Callithrix jacchus: one gene and its partner. The protein of the gene in region 1 interacts with the protein of each later gene in a biochemical or structural test. Links are inferred from orthologs where the notes say so. Each region holds a gene or a part of one and is shown in the gene's direction. Other genes may lie near its edges.

Evidence for each region. The genes of interacting proteins can lie anywhere in the genome.
Region 2: of the proteins of IKBKG (region 1) and NFKBIA, one has a biochemical effect on the other in vitro, tested with the Homo sapiens proteins (15 studies listed by BioGRID and IntAct). The link is inferred for Callithrix jacchus from reciprocal best matches to the Homo sapiens genes IKBKG and NFKBIA.

What each region holds. Positions count from the first base shown.
Region 1 is NC_133524.1:150,333,302-150,338,974, forward strand, and holds the start of IKBKG (NF-kappa-B essential modulator), read left to right. Parts: upstream 1-1,784; 5' UTR 1,785-1,883; intron 1,884-5,673. UniProt on the Homo sapiens protein: Regulatory subunit of the IKK core complex which phosphorylates inhibitors of NF-kappa-B thus leading to the dissociation of the inhibitor/NF-kappa-B complex and ultimately the degradation of the inhibitor.
Region 2 is NC_133509.1:69,915,421-69,921,267, reverse strand, and holds NFKBIA (NF-kappa-B inhibitor alpha), read left to right. Parts: upstream 1-2,100; 5' UTR 2,101-2,209; coding exon 2,210-2,424; intron 2,425-3,032; coding exon 3,033-3,141; intron 3,142-3,471; coding exon 3,472-3,682; intron 3,683-3,979; coding exon 3,980-4,068; intron 4,069-4,175; coding exon 4,176-4,436; intron 4,437-4,785; coding exon 4,786-4,833; 3' UTR 4,834-5,336; downstream 5,337-5,847. UniProt on the Homo sapiens protein: Inhibits the activity of dimeric NF-kappa-B/REL complexes by trapping REL (RELA/p65 and NFKB1/p50) dimers in the cytoplasm by masking their nuclear localization signals.

The sequences.
Region 1 (5,673 bases):
CAATGGAGTGGAGGCTGGGGAGTGGGTCAGAAATGACCCTTTGGGGGCCAGCAACTGTGAGCAGCCTCCCTGGGTGCAGAGCATATTCTGTTTCTTGATCTAGGAGCAGCTTCTGCGGCTCTGCTGATTTTGTGTTCTTCATGACATAGACTTCTTTTGAGAGGGAGTCTCGCTCTGTTACCCAGGCTGGAGTGCACTGGTGCAATCTTAGCTCACTGTAATCTCCCACCTCCTGGGTTCAAGCAATTCTCCTGCCTTAGCCTCCTGAGTAGCTGGGACTCCAGGCATCTGATACAGAGCCTGAGTAATTATTGTATTTTTAGTAGAGATGGGTTTCCCCCAGATGGGTTAGCCAGGCTGGTCTCAAACTCCTGACTTCAGGTGATCTGCCTGCCTTGGCCTCCCAAAGGGCTGGGATTATAGGTGTGAGCCACTGCACCTGGGCGTGACATATATTTCAGTAAAACATGATAAAAAGTAATAGACAGTCTAGGCATTGTAGCTCACGCCTGTAATCCCAGCACTTTGGAAGACCAGGGCAGGTGGATCACGACGTCAAGAGATCAAAACAATCCTGGCCAACCTGGTAAAACGCTGTTTCTACTAAAAATACAAAAAATAAGCTGGGCATGGTGGTGCATGCCTGTAGTCCCAGCTACTCGGGAGGCTGAGGCAGGAGAATCACTTGAACCTGGGAGGCAGAGGTTGTGGTGAGCCAAGACCACGCCATTGCACTCCAGCCTGGGTGACAGAGCGAGACTCCATCTCACACACACAGATGAAAACAAAAGACATGCTCTTCAAAGCGATCAGACACTGCAATCATGGATGGGTCCGTTTCTATGAACCATTATAGAATGGAGGCCATGCCACCAGGACACATGCCCCCATGAAACAGGCAGTTAGGAAGCCACCGGGGGCTTCCAGGTGGGAAATTGCTATGGTGTGCATCCCTTGTGTGCTCTGCTTCTGCCCCTCCTTGGGTGAGCTCGGTGCAGGGCTTCAGGTGGGAGCTGCAGGCAGACTGCTCCTGAGTTTCTTCCCGGCCCAGTTACAAGTGTCTGTGGGTCATCTCCAGGCTGCACTGGGACCTCAGCATCCCCACAGTGGGCTGTTCCCAAACCAGGGTTGCCTGTGTTGGTATCGGGGGGCTCCTAGCCACCTGCCATTTATCTCTTGAGCACTCTGGAGTGGGGCTCTCCTGTAACTGCCACATGAAAGTTTTATAAATGGTCTCTTTGCCCCCCAGATGCTGCAGTGACCGTCTTGAAAATAAAGTTCCAGCCCTGCCACCAGCTGGTCTTGGACCACCCATGAGACCTTCTCACCCATCACTACCCGACATGAAGCCCAGTGCAGCCCTCCTAGCATCCAACTTGCTGCTCCCTGAAGCCACAAGGACCTCTTGCTTCTGCATCCTTCCAAGTCCACCTCAGACGACCCCTCACCCTGGGGTAGGAGTTCCTCCACTCTGCTCCTCACAGCACCCTGCCATCAGACTGGGGAGGGGAACACTGGCCATGGCACATCAACTCAGGGTTGTCCCCGCACACAGAAAGGGCCAGCTCGCTGGGAACTAACTTGTCCCTGAATGAAACGGTAATAACCACAGCCTGCAAATACCTCTAAGCCTCACTCAAAGCAGGTCATGTTTGCTCATGACCAAATTCTGGTAGATCAGGAGGCATTGGGACAGACTACAGGAAGGTACTGTTGGCAGGGGACTGGTCTGCTGAGTCACAGCGGCCCCACGCTCCAGGCTGTTTGTTCCTGCTGCTCCCTTTGGGATTAACTGGAGATTGAACCTGTTCGCCTTGTTCCAGCTCAGCCCCTGCAACCGACTGTCTGCTGGGATCCGAGTCACCTGAGAGAAGTGAGTCGAGGTAAGACAGAGGATGGCGTGGGTGGGGGAAGGCCAGGCAGCTCTTTCCCATGGTGACGAGGAGCTAAGCTGAGCTGAGCCGAGCAGAGCCAGACTGAGCTGCTCTCCTCAGGGCTCAGGGCTAGCCCTGCCCTCCCAGCTGGCTGCAGCGCTCTAGTGGGACTTTCTGGAGGGACAAGTACAGGAAGACATGGGAAAACCTGACAGCTTAGTCAAGAGTCTACTCCTGCCATGTGGGTGGGGGCAATTCAAGGGATCCTTAGTGAGAAGCAGCTGGGAGCTTCTCATTTTCCCCACGCCCTCCTCTTTCCTGAGGACCACAGCAGGGGAGGGACCTTCTTGAGGACACAGGGTGACTTAGTAGAAGCAGGACACGATTAAGATCTCCAGCCACCAATGTCTGGCTCGGCCAGGGCAAAGGGACCTAGGCCACGACCTGTTTTATAAACCCAAATCGCTACAGCTCGTCTTGGCGTGAGGGTTTCATGGTAGAGGGCGATGCCTGCTGGAGAGCCAGCAGGGGTAGGCCACCCCATCCCCAAGGGTCGCTAGGGTCAAGGACCTGCCCAGACTCCCTGGGTGGAGCCCGAGAACCTGGGGGCTGCTGAGTTAGCTCAGTTGAAAAACCAACGAAAGGGCCTCCCTCCTAAACCCAGGGGCTCATGAGTCACCGGGTCTTTGGGAGAGTGCCAACATCATCATGACACAGCAAGAATCTTATCGGACCAACGGAGAAGTCAGCCCAGAAATGTTCCGAGGAAAGGGAGGGGTGGGGGCCGCTGAACGCCCAGCAAGCCCATGGCCCTTGTGATCCAGGTGGGGAATCTGAGGCCCAGACAGGTGAGGAACCCGTAGACTCTCAGTCCCAGTCTCTTCCCCTCACTCCCTGGTAGGGGTGGGAGTCCTGAGAAGGTGGGAAGTGGCCCACTTGGTAACTCTGAGCCGTCATCAGGGCCCCCAGGAAGGAAGCTGGGTGTGTGCGCAAGTGTTGCGTAAGCTGGCCAGGAGGAGGAAGGGACAGATGAAGGCCACGTGGGTACAGCCTGCCCCAGGGTGTCCCGCTTCCCTGGCTGTGGGTCTGCCAGCCACTTGCCTGCTTGCAGTTTCTAGGTCACGCCAAGCTAGTTCCCAACTCAGGGCTTCAGGCATTTGCTCTTCCTTTTGTGTGGGTGCTCCTCAGCCTGCCCCGGCAGGCTTGCTCTCCAGGCCCTCCTTGTGGGATCTATGCGCTCTGGGGGGCTGGGAACACAGGGCCCACATGTATCTTCTGCTTACTTGCTGTGGTTCCCTGGCCACCACAGCACATAGGTCCCATGAGGAGGGCAGGGACTGGCTACTGTGGCCCAGAAGTGCCCGATCACTCTCTTCTAAATGAATGGAAAATGGGCTATTTTCCTGGAGCAACAGATTCTAGGATTGGGTGCCCCCAAGTGCATCGAGTGAGGCATCGGGCACGGAAGGAGCCTGGGAGTGGGAGCTGCTCCAGGTGCTGCCTGAGCACGCCACCCCCACCCGCAGCAGGAAGAGGAAGAAACCAACCACAAGGCCCTTCAGAGAGAGGACCCCTTGTCCTCTACCCACAGTGCTGGAGCTGGCACCGTCAGAGCAGAGGAGAGCAAAGGGGAACCCTACTGATTTCAATGAAACAAAGTTGCCCAATACCAAGCTGGCCACAAGTGAAGAAAGTGAAATGACACAATCAGCTTGGAAAACCCTAAGGACCCTGGGCACTTGTTTCAAAAGCTGTCATTTGCTACATGAAATGCTGACAGTCAGAGAAAGGAAAACACTTGCTCCAAGTCACACAACAAGTTTGGATGCTCAGTGAGGTTGTCTAATGAGAGCTGAAGGCCTGGAGTCATAAGCCATCATTGTGGCCTGGGCTGCTGTGTTGTAGTGTCCTTGTGACAGCATGGGGTGGAGACAGGGAAAGGAGAAAGCATCCTCAGTTACCTTCTCCTCTAGTCTGCTTCTTGCACTAAGGGCTTAATGGTCAGAGTCCTAGGTGGTAAGGTTTGTGACTGATGCAGGTATGGCTCTTTTAATTTTTTTTGACATGGAATCTCATTCATTCTGTTGCGCAGGCTGGATCACTGCAACCTCTGCCTCCCAGGTTCAAGCAATTCTCCTGCCTCACCTTTCTGAGTAGCTGGGATTACAGGCAGGCGCCACCATGCCTGGCTAATTTTTGTATTTTTAGTAGAGACAGGGTTTTGCCATGCTGACTAAGCTAGTCTCAAACTCTTGACCTCAGGTGATTGCCCGCCTTGGTCTCCCAAAGTGTTGGGACTACAGCTGTGAGTCACAGGGCCTGGCCAGGTATGGCTCTTCTGAGAGGACTAGGCTGGGGCTGAAGGCAAGCCCAATCCACTGTGGGCTCCACCTGGGTACCTCTCCTGGGTCTCAGGCATATGGGGAGTCAGAGGACAGTGCTTGGGGTGGCCCTTCCTTACTTCTCCCTCGGCTGCCTCCTCATTCCTTTTCTAAGTTCTGATCAGAAGTACAAAGGTGTCAAGGAGCAGGTTTGCAAAGTGTGACACTGCATTGTTGTACGTGAACAAAGAACCACTAAGCTCATCCAGCACTCAGGGACGCGTGATGAGGAAGAGCTCATTAGTTTTGAGAGAGCTCTTGCTCAAGGTTATAAGATACTTTTTTTTTTGAACTGGAGTTCTGCGCTTGTCACCCAGACTGGAGTGGAATGGTGAAATCTTGGCTCATGGCGAAACCTCTGCCTCAGCCTCCTGAGTAGCAGGGATTACAGGTGCTTGCCACCACGCCTGGTTAATTTTTTGTATTTTTAGTAGAGATGGGGTTTCACTGTGTTGACCAGGCTGGTCTTGAACTCTTGACCTCAAGTGATCCTCCCACAGTGCTGGGATTACAGGCGTGAGCCACCGTGCCCGGCCTGGTTACAAGGTAAATGAATGGCAAAAATGGTCATACGGTAGTGAGCAGATTGAGTGCATCCACGATTAAAAGTGAAAACTGAAACGTATAATTTGAGATGAAGCTCTTGTTTCAACAGCCCCTGCAGTCTCACTGCCCCATGTGACATAGGTGAGGGTGCTCCAGTCTGGGTGATGGCTCTATTAGAACCGCCCCTTCCAGGCCGGGCACTTTGGGAGGCCAAGGCGGGTGTATCACGAGGTCAGGAGATCGAGACCATCCTGGTCAACATGGTGAAACCCTGTCTTTACTAAAAATACAAAAATTAGCTGGGCATGGTGGTGCGTGCCTGTAGTCCCAGCTACTTGGGAGGCTGAGGCAGGAGAATTGCTTGAACCCGGAAGGCAGAGGTTGCGGTGAGCCGAGACCGTGCCATTGCACTCCAGCCTGGGTAACAACAGCGAAACTTTGTCTAAAAAAAAAAAAAAAGGAAAAAAAAGAACCGCCCCTTCCTCTCCTCCCTCCCCTCCCATGTAAATCCTCATGCTATACTATTCTTTGGTCTTTCCTATGAGTACAAAATGGCGGTTCCACAAGCTGGACAATTGGGGCCAGGTGGGGTGAAGCAGAGCTCCTTGGTAGGCTTTGCAAATTGAGGCAAAGAGCCAGTGTTCAAAGAAAGGCTGAGTGTCTGTCTCCAGGGAACTTGAAGTCTTAGAGAGCAAAGGGGCAGAGATTGAGCCTCAGACCCTGCCTTTGGAACTCATTTGTTAAGGCATGAACAGGTTTGGAAAAACCACAGAATGAACAGCAGTCCCTGTTTTCCCCAAGAAGTCCAATTAGATAGTCCCTAGAGACCTTGAAACCACAGGTTTCAGAAATGTCTTGCGGTGGGGTGCAGT
Region 2 (5,847 bases), on another chromosome or scaffold:
TTTCAAAAGTGTTAATACTAAGACTGCTTTGGCCAAATGATTAATATACTGCCAAGGGGTTTCTGGGTAAATTTCTATGCATTTCAGTTTCTTTTTAGGAAAGTAGGAACAATATCTATCTTACAGGATTACTTCTGAGAACTAACAATGTGATGCATAAAGTGCTGGAGTTCTTTCAAAAATTTATGGCATTTCCAAAAGCCATAGTCACCCTTACAGAAGCAGAGTCAGGCATGCATTTGTAGACAAGTAATACGACTTTAAAGCTAGAAAAGACCTTAAGAAGCAATCTTATTATAAAAGTAAGTATACCAAAAAAAAAAAAAAAAGTAAGTATACCACAAAAATGTTAACTGATCTCTCCAACTAATGTGCAGTTCAGTAAAGACAGAACCCAGAATTGAGATGCTCCGACTGCAGTCACGTTTCATCTTGCCGCAATCATTGTGTATTTGCATATCATAAGCCTACAGAGACAATGGTGTCTATCCCTGGGAAGTTTTCATTGTAACATGTGATCATTACTACCCTGGAGGTTCTATCTGATTTTAATTTTTTTTCCTTCACACTTGGTCTATCTCTGTTGAGTCAGATTTCTTATATTCTAATATTGGGGGAAAGGTGGAGATTTGAAGAGAGGGGAAGGATTGGTTAGTACATGGCCAGTCAAGGTAAAGATGACTGCAATAATCACCAGAAATCTCTGCAGAACTATAGAGGCCTCCCGGGACTAATCCTGAAGAGCTCTGATTGAAGTTTGCTTTCTTTTGCCTATACCAACTCTATCAAGTAGAATTCAGTCCATGACTTGTAGACTTGGAGGTGGAGATGGGGTGGAGAGCAAAAATTCTATTTCTGCAGGTAAAACCAGAGCACAGTGAGCCCAAACCCCTTTCTACCTGGGTGGCATGAATGAGTCCAACTGCTACCGTCCCCCCGGACAATGGAGCAAGGAGGGGCGGGCAGGACCAGACTGCCTTCAGCCTCCCGCAGGATGCCTGGCAACTAGTTTCTTAGTGGTCCTTACGGTCCAAGCGCGGTTTAAGGTACTAACTAAACTCATTCTTCAGTCTCCTTCTCCAAGTGTTCCTGGAGAATTGCTCAGTTTGCACCCAGAAGTAGGCTCAGGATCCATTCTCTGCAGCAGCACAATGTAGGTCAGAGAGCATGAACAAAATCGCTACTTAGGAACACAATAGTTATTTTGTTATTGCAAAGTATCCACAACCACTACTACAAAGATTAGCACCTAGCTTTACTTAGGGGGAAGAAAATCCTGGTCCTATTTAGCAGTTTCCCCCGTACAGGGAGAGTTCACCCCTCCCCCAGTCAACAGAGCTCTTCTTCCATAGGAACTTATTTGAGAGTTCTCCAAGGATTTAGGTTTTCACTCCAAAGCTTTCACAACTTCTATCTGGCGGGGTGTGCGGGGGTGGGGGTGGGGGTGGGGGTGGGGGTGGGGGTGGGGGTGGGGGTGGGGGTGGGGGTGGGGGTGGAGAAGCTAAGCGTCCCGGTGCTGCAAAGAGCCTGGTATTGGTAGAAACACGTCGGCGGCCTGCAGCCTTCTAATCACAGTGCGTCCTTCCCCTTAGAGAGAAGTCTGCGGAAAGCAAATCCCTACACCCAGCCATCATTTCCACTCTTGCGTTTTCAAAAGATCAAAAAACGGAAAAGACCGGCAGGTTGGCAAACCCCAAAGAAGGACTGCCCATCAGGTCGGCGTCCTTGGGATCTCAGCAGCCGACGACCCCAATTCAAAGCGATCGTGGGAAACCCCAGGGAAAAATGGTTAACTTGCAGAGGGACAGGATTACAGGGTGCAGGCTGCAGGGAAGTACCGGGGGCAGGGGGCCTGGTAGGAAGGACTTTCCAGCCACTCGGCGCTCATCAAAAAGTTCCCTGTCCGTGACCCCAGTGCCTCATCGCAGGGAGTTTCTCCGATGAACCCCAGCTCAGGGTTTAGGCTTCTTTTTCCCCCTAGCAGAGGACGAAGCCAGTTCTCTTTTCTGGTCTGACTGGCTTGGAAATTCCCCGCGCCTGACCCCGCCCCAGAGAAATCCCCAGCCAGCGTTTATAAGGGCGTTGGGGCGGCGCTGCAGAGCCCACAGCAGCCCGCGCCGCCGTACCGTTCGCCAGCGCTCCAGCGAGGAAGCAGCGCGCAGCCCGCGGCCCAGCGCACCCGCAGCAGCACCCACAGCTCGCCCGAGCAATGTTCCAGGCAGCCGAGTGGGCCATGGAGGGCCTCCGCGATGGGCTGAAGAAGGAGCGGCTGCTGGACGACCGCCACGACAGCGGCCTGGACTCTATGAAGGACGAGGAGTACGAGCAGATGGTCAAGGAGCTGCGGGAGATCCGCCTAGAGCCGCAGGAGGCGCAGCACGGCGCCGAGCCCTGGAAGCAGCAGCTCACCGAGGACGGGGACTCGTAAGTGGCGCGGGCCAGGGGTCGTTGGGAGGACCGGACGCGCGCAGGCGGGGCTTGGGGGGTGCTGGGCCTGCAGCCCGAGCCCGGGGACCAGCGCTGCAGCCGGGCCAGCACCGCGGCGCCCCGGGGCTCCTGCACGGCGCCGAACGCTGCAGGGCCGCAGGGCCGCGCGGGACTCCGGCTGGACTAGGAGGGGCAGAGGCTCGGCTCTGGTGGACCGCAGCGTCGCCACACGCCCCCTCCCCCCCATCCGTCCTCTAGGCCGGGGGCGGGGCGGCGGTGGGGACGCGAAGTCCCCGGTTGCATAAGGCGGGGCGGGAGTTTCTGGCCGCTGGCGGGCGCCTTGCAGCCGGGAGGGGAAGTACAGGGCGTTCCGAGCCGGCGGGAGGGCGGGGCGGTCTGGCCGGCGCCCGCCGAGGCCTGAAGGAGGGGGGCGGAAAGTCCCTGGGCGCCTGCCAGGAACACTCAGCTCATAATAACCTCGCGGAAAACACCGCGGCCTCGGCCTCCAGAAACCCCGGCCTTGCGCAATCCCCCGCAGCCCGCGCCTCCCTGGGCCCCACGCGGTGCACTCACCACCCCTGGGGGTTTTTCCCTCTTCCCCACAGGTTCCTGCACTTGGCCATCATCCATGAAGAAAAGGCACTTACCATGGAAGTAATCCGCCAGGTGAAGGGAGACGTGGCCTTCCTCAACTTCCAGAACAACCTGCAGCAGGTGCGCACGTGCCTGGCCCGGGCTTTCTTTGACCCTGGGACAGAGCTGATGTAGCAGAGTCACCCCAGATCCTTTCTGAATTAAGGGCCACTGGGCATTATTCACCCCTGCCGTTTACTTCGCATCAGCCCCCATCCTAGAGAGGGAAGGAAATTCTATGGATTTGGTGAGGTCTTTATGACCCACCTGGAGCCTCTGCTATTTGCCAGCCCTCCCCACCCTCCCACCTGGGAGGAGCAGCACCCAACCAGGAGACATTGGGGATCCGGGGAACTCGGGGTGTGGGTTTGATTCATGGCTTACTCTCTCTGGTTTCTCTTGCACTGGTAGACTCCACTACACTTGGCTGTGATCACCAACCAGCCAGAAATTGCTGAGGCACTTCTGGGAGCTGGCTGTGATCCTGAGCTCCGAGACTTTCGAGGAAATACCCCCCTACACCTTGCCTGTGAGCAGGGCTGCCTGGCCAGCGTGGGAGTCCTGACTCAGGCCTGCACCACCCCACACCTCCACTCCATCCTGAAAGCTACCAACTACAATGGTATGTCTGCCTTCCTGCCCTGCCCCACCCCCTCAGAGGGCAGGTGACATGCAGAAAGGGCACGTGGGCCAACTTAGGGAGTCCAGGAAAGAGCTTAAACTCCCAACCTGTGAAAGATCGAGAAAAGATGTGTGCAATATGCCTATTGGATACATTTTAAAAGTCCCTTCAGAACCCAGACTGGGGTTCTTAAAATTCAGAAGACATGACTGTTTGTCCCATAAAAGAATAGGTGAAAGGTGCTGCTTTAGGAGGGTTGAAACAAATGGTTATGCTTTTTTCCTTTTGTTCTTCCAGGCCACACGTGTCTGCACTTAGCTTCTATCCATGGCTACCTGGGCATCGTGGAGCTTTTGGTATCCTTGGGTGCTGATGTCAATGCTCAGGTGAGTGCTTCCTGCCTCCCATGTTCTGAGTCAAGCTCCTCGTGCTTGTGTTGCAAGCAGAAATTCCAAACGCAGCCATAGGCATCTCAAATTCCTTTTGGTTTCAGGAGCCCTGTAATGGCCGGACTGCCCTTCACCTCGCAGTGGACCTGCAGAATCCTGACTTGGTGTCGCTCCTGCTGAAGTGTGGGGCTGATGTCAACAGAGTTACCTACCAGGGCTACTCCCCTTACCAGCTTACCTGGGGTCGCCCAAGCACCCGGATACAGCAGCAGCTGGGCCAGCTGACACTAGAAAACCTTCAGATGCTGCCAGAGAGTGAGGATGAGGAGAGCTATGACACAGAGTCAGAATTCACGGAGGATGAGGTGAGTCTGAACTGCTTCAGTATTCTGTGAAATTAATGGCGGGGGGGCTTTCCCTTCACCCTCCCAGTCCCCTAGAGCTGCTCTTCATTAGAGGAATGTCCATGTAATGAATCTCTCAAATTTCTGTGTATAACCAGTATCCCAAGAATGTGCCTTTTTTTTTTTTTAATAGCGCACTGTTTTTTTTAAAAGAGAAGCATTAAAGGCAAACTCCCTCAACCTGTAAAGTTCACTATATTTGGGCTACGGAGAATGGAGTCCAAGTGTTATTTCCAGTAGCAGCTTCCCCATCCCAATAGCTTGGCAGAGCTCCAGAAGTTTAACGTTCTTTTTTTCCCTTTGTTTTCAGCTCCCCTATGATGACTGTGTGTTTGCAGGCCAGCGTCTGACATTATGAGCACAAAGGGTCTGAAAGAACGTGGACTTGTATATTTGTACAAAAAGAGAGTTTTATTTTTCTTAAAAAAAAAAAAAAAAAAAAAAAATTTAAAGGGTGTACTTATATCCATACTGCACACTGCCTGGCCCAAAACATTTTACTGTGGTGGGATCAGCCCTCGTTTTGTTACTTTCGTGAACTTTTTGTAGGGGACAAGAAAGATCATTGAAATTCCAAGAAAACTTCTTTTAAGCTTTACCTTTGTGGGAGTTTGGATAATGTTATCAAAAATTTCATGGAAGGACCACATTTTATATTTATTGTGCTTTGAGTGACTAACCCCAGTGGTATCCTGTGACATGTAACAGCCAGGAGTGTTAAACCTTCAGTGGTGTGGGGTTAAAAGTTGCTACCTGTCAAGGTTTGTGTTACCCTCCTGTAAATGGTGTACATAGTGTATTGTTGGTAATTATTTTGGTACTTTTATTATGTATATTTATTAAACAGATTTTTACAAATGAGTTATTCTGATCAATTTCTTTGAGCTGCCATGGGCCTCCTGTTCTGAGTGGTTCCATCCTCTGGCAGAGGTGAAGGTAGATCATTGTAGGGGAGCAGGGAGCGGCCAGCAGCTTCTCACACCTGACACCCAACCTCCAGCAAAGCTTTGCAGGCAGCCTGGGCACAGTGTATGTGTGGGAGGGAGGCTATTGCAAGGTTATAGGAAATGCCAGTTTCAGGCTAGGAGTGGAAGTTTGCTGCTCGGCCTGTGGTTGGAGAGCTCTCTGTTGTCATCCTGTCATCCCCTTGATTTAAACTGTTCCAGGACCCTAACTTCCACTTCAGGAAATCATTTTGGCCGAGAAGAATATGCTGAATTCATATTATATATAGCTGGGAAAGATCTCACTTATAGTACAGGAAGTTCCTAAGGACATAGGCTCAGAAATCAGACTGCACTGACATTTGTTAGCAGGTGCTCTCCTCTGAGACTTAGTTTTCTCATTTATTATCTGGGCTATTGTGAAAATT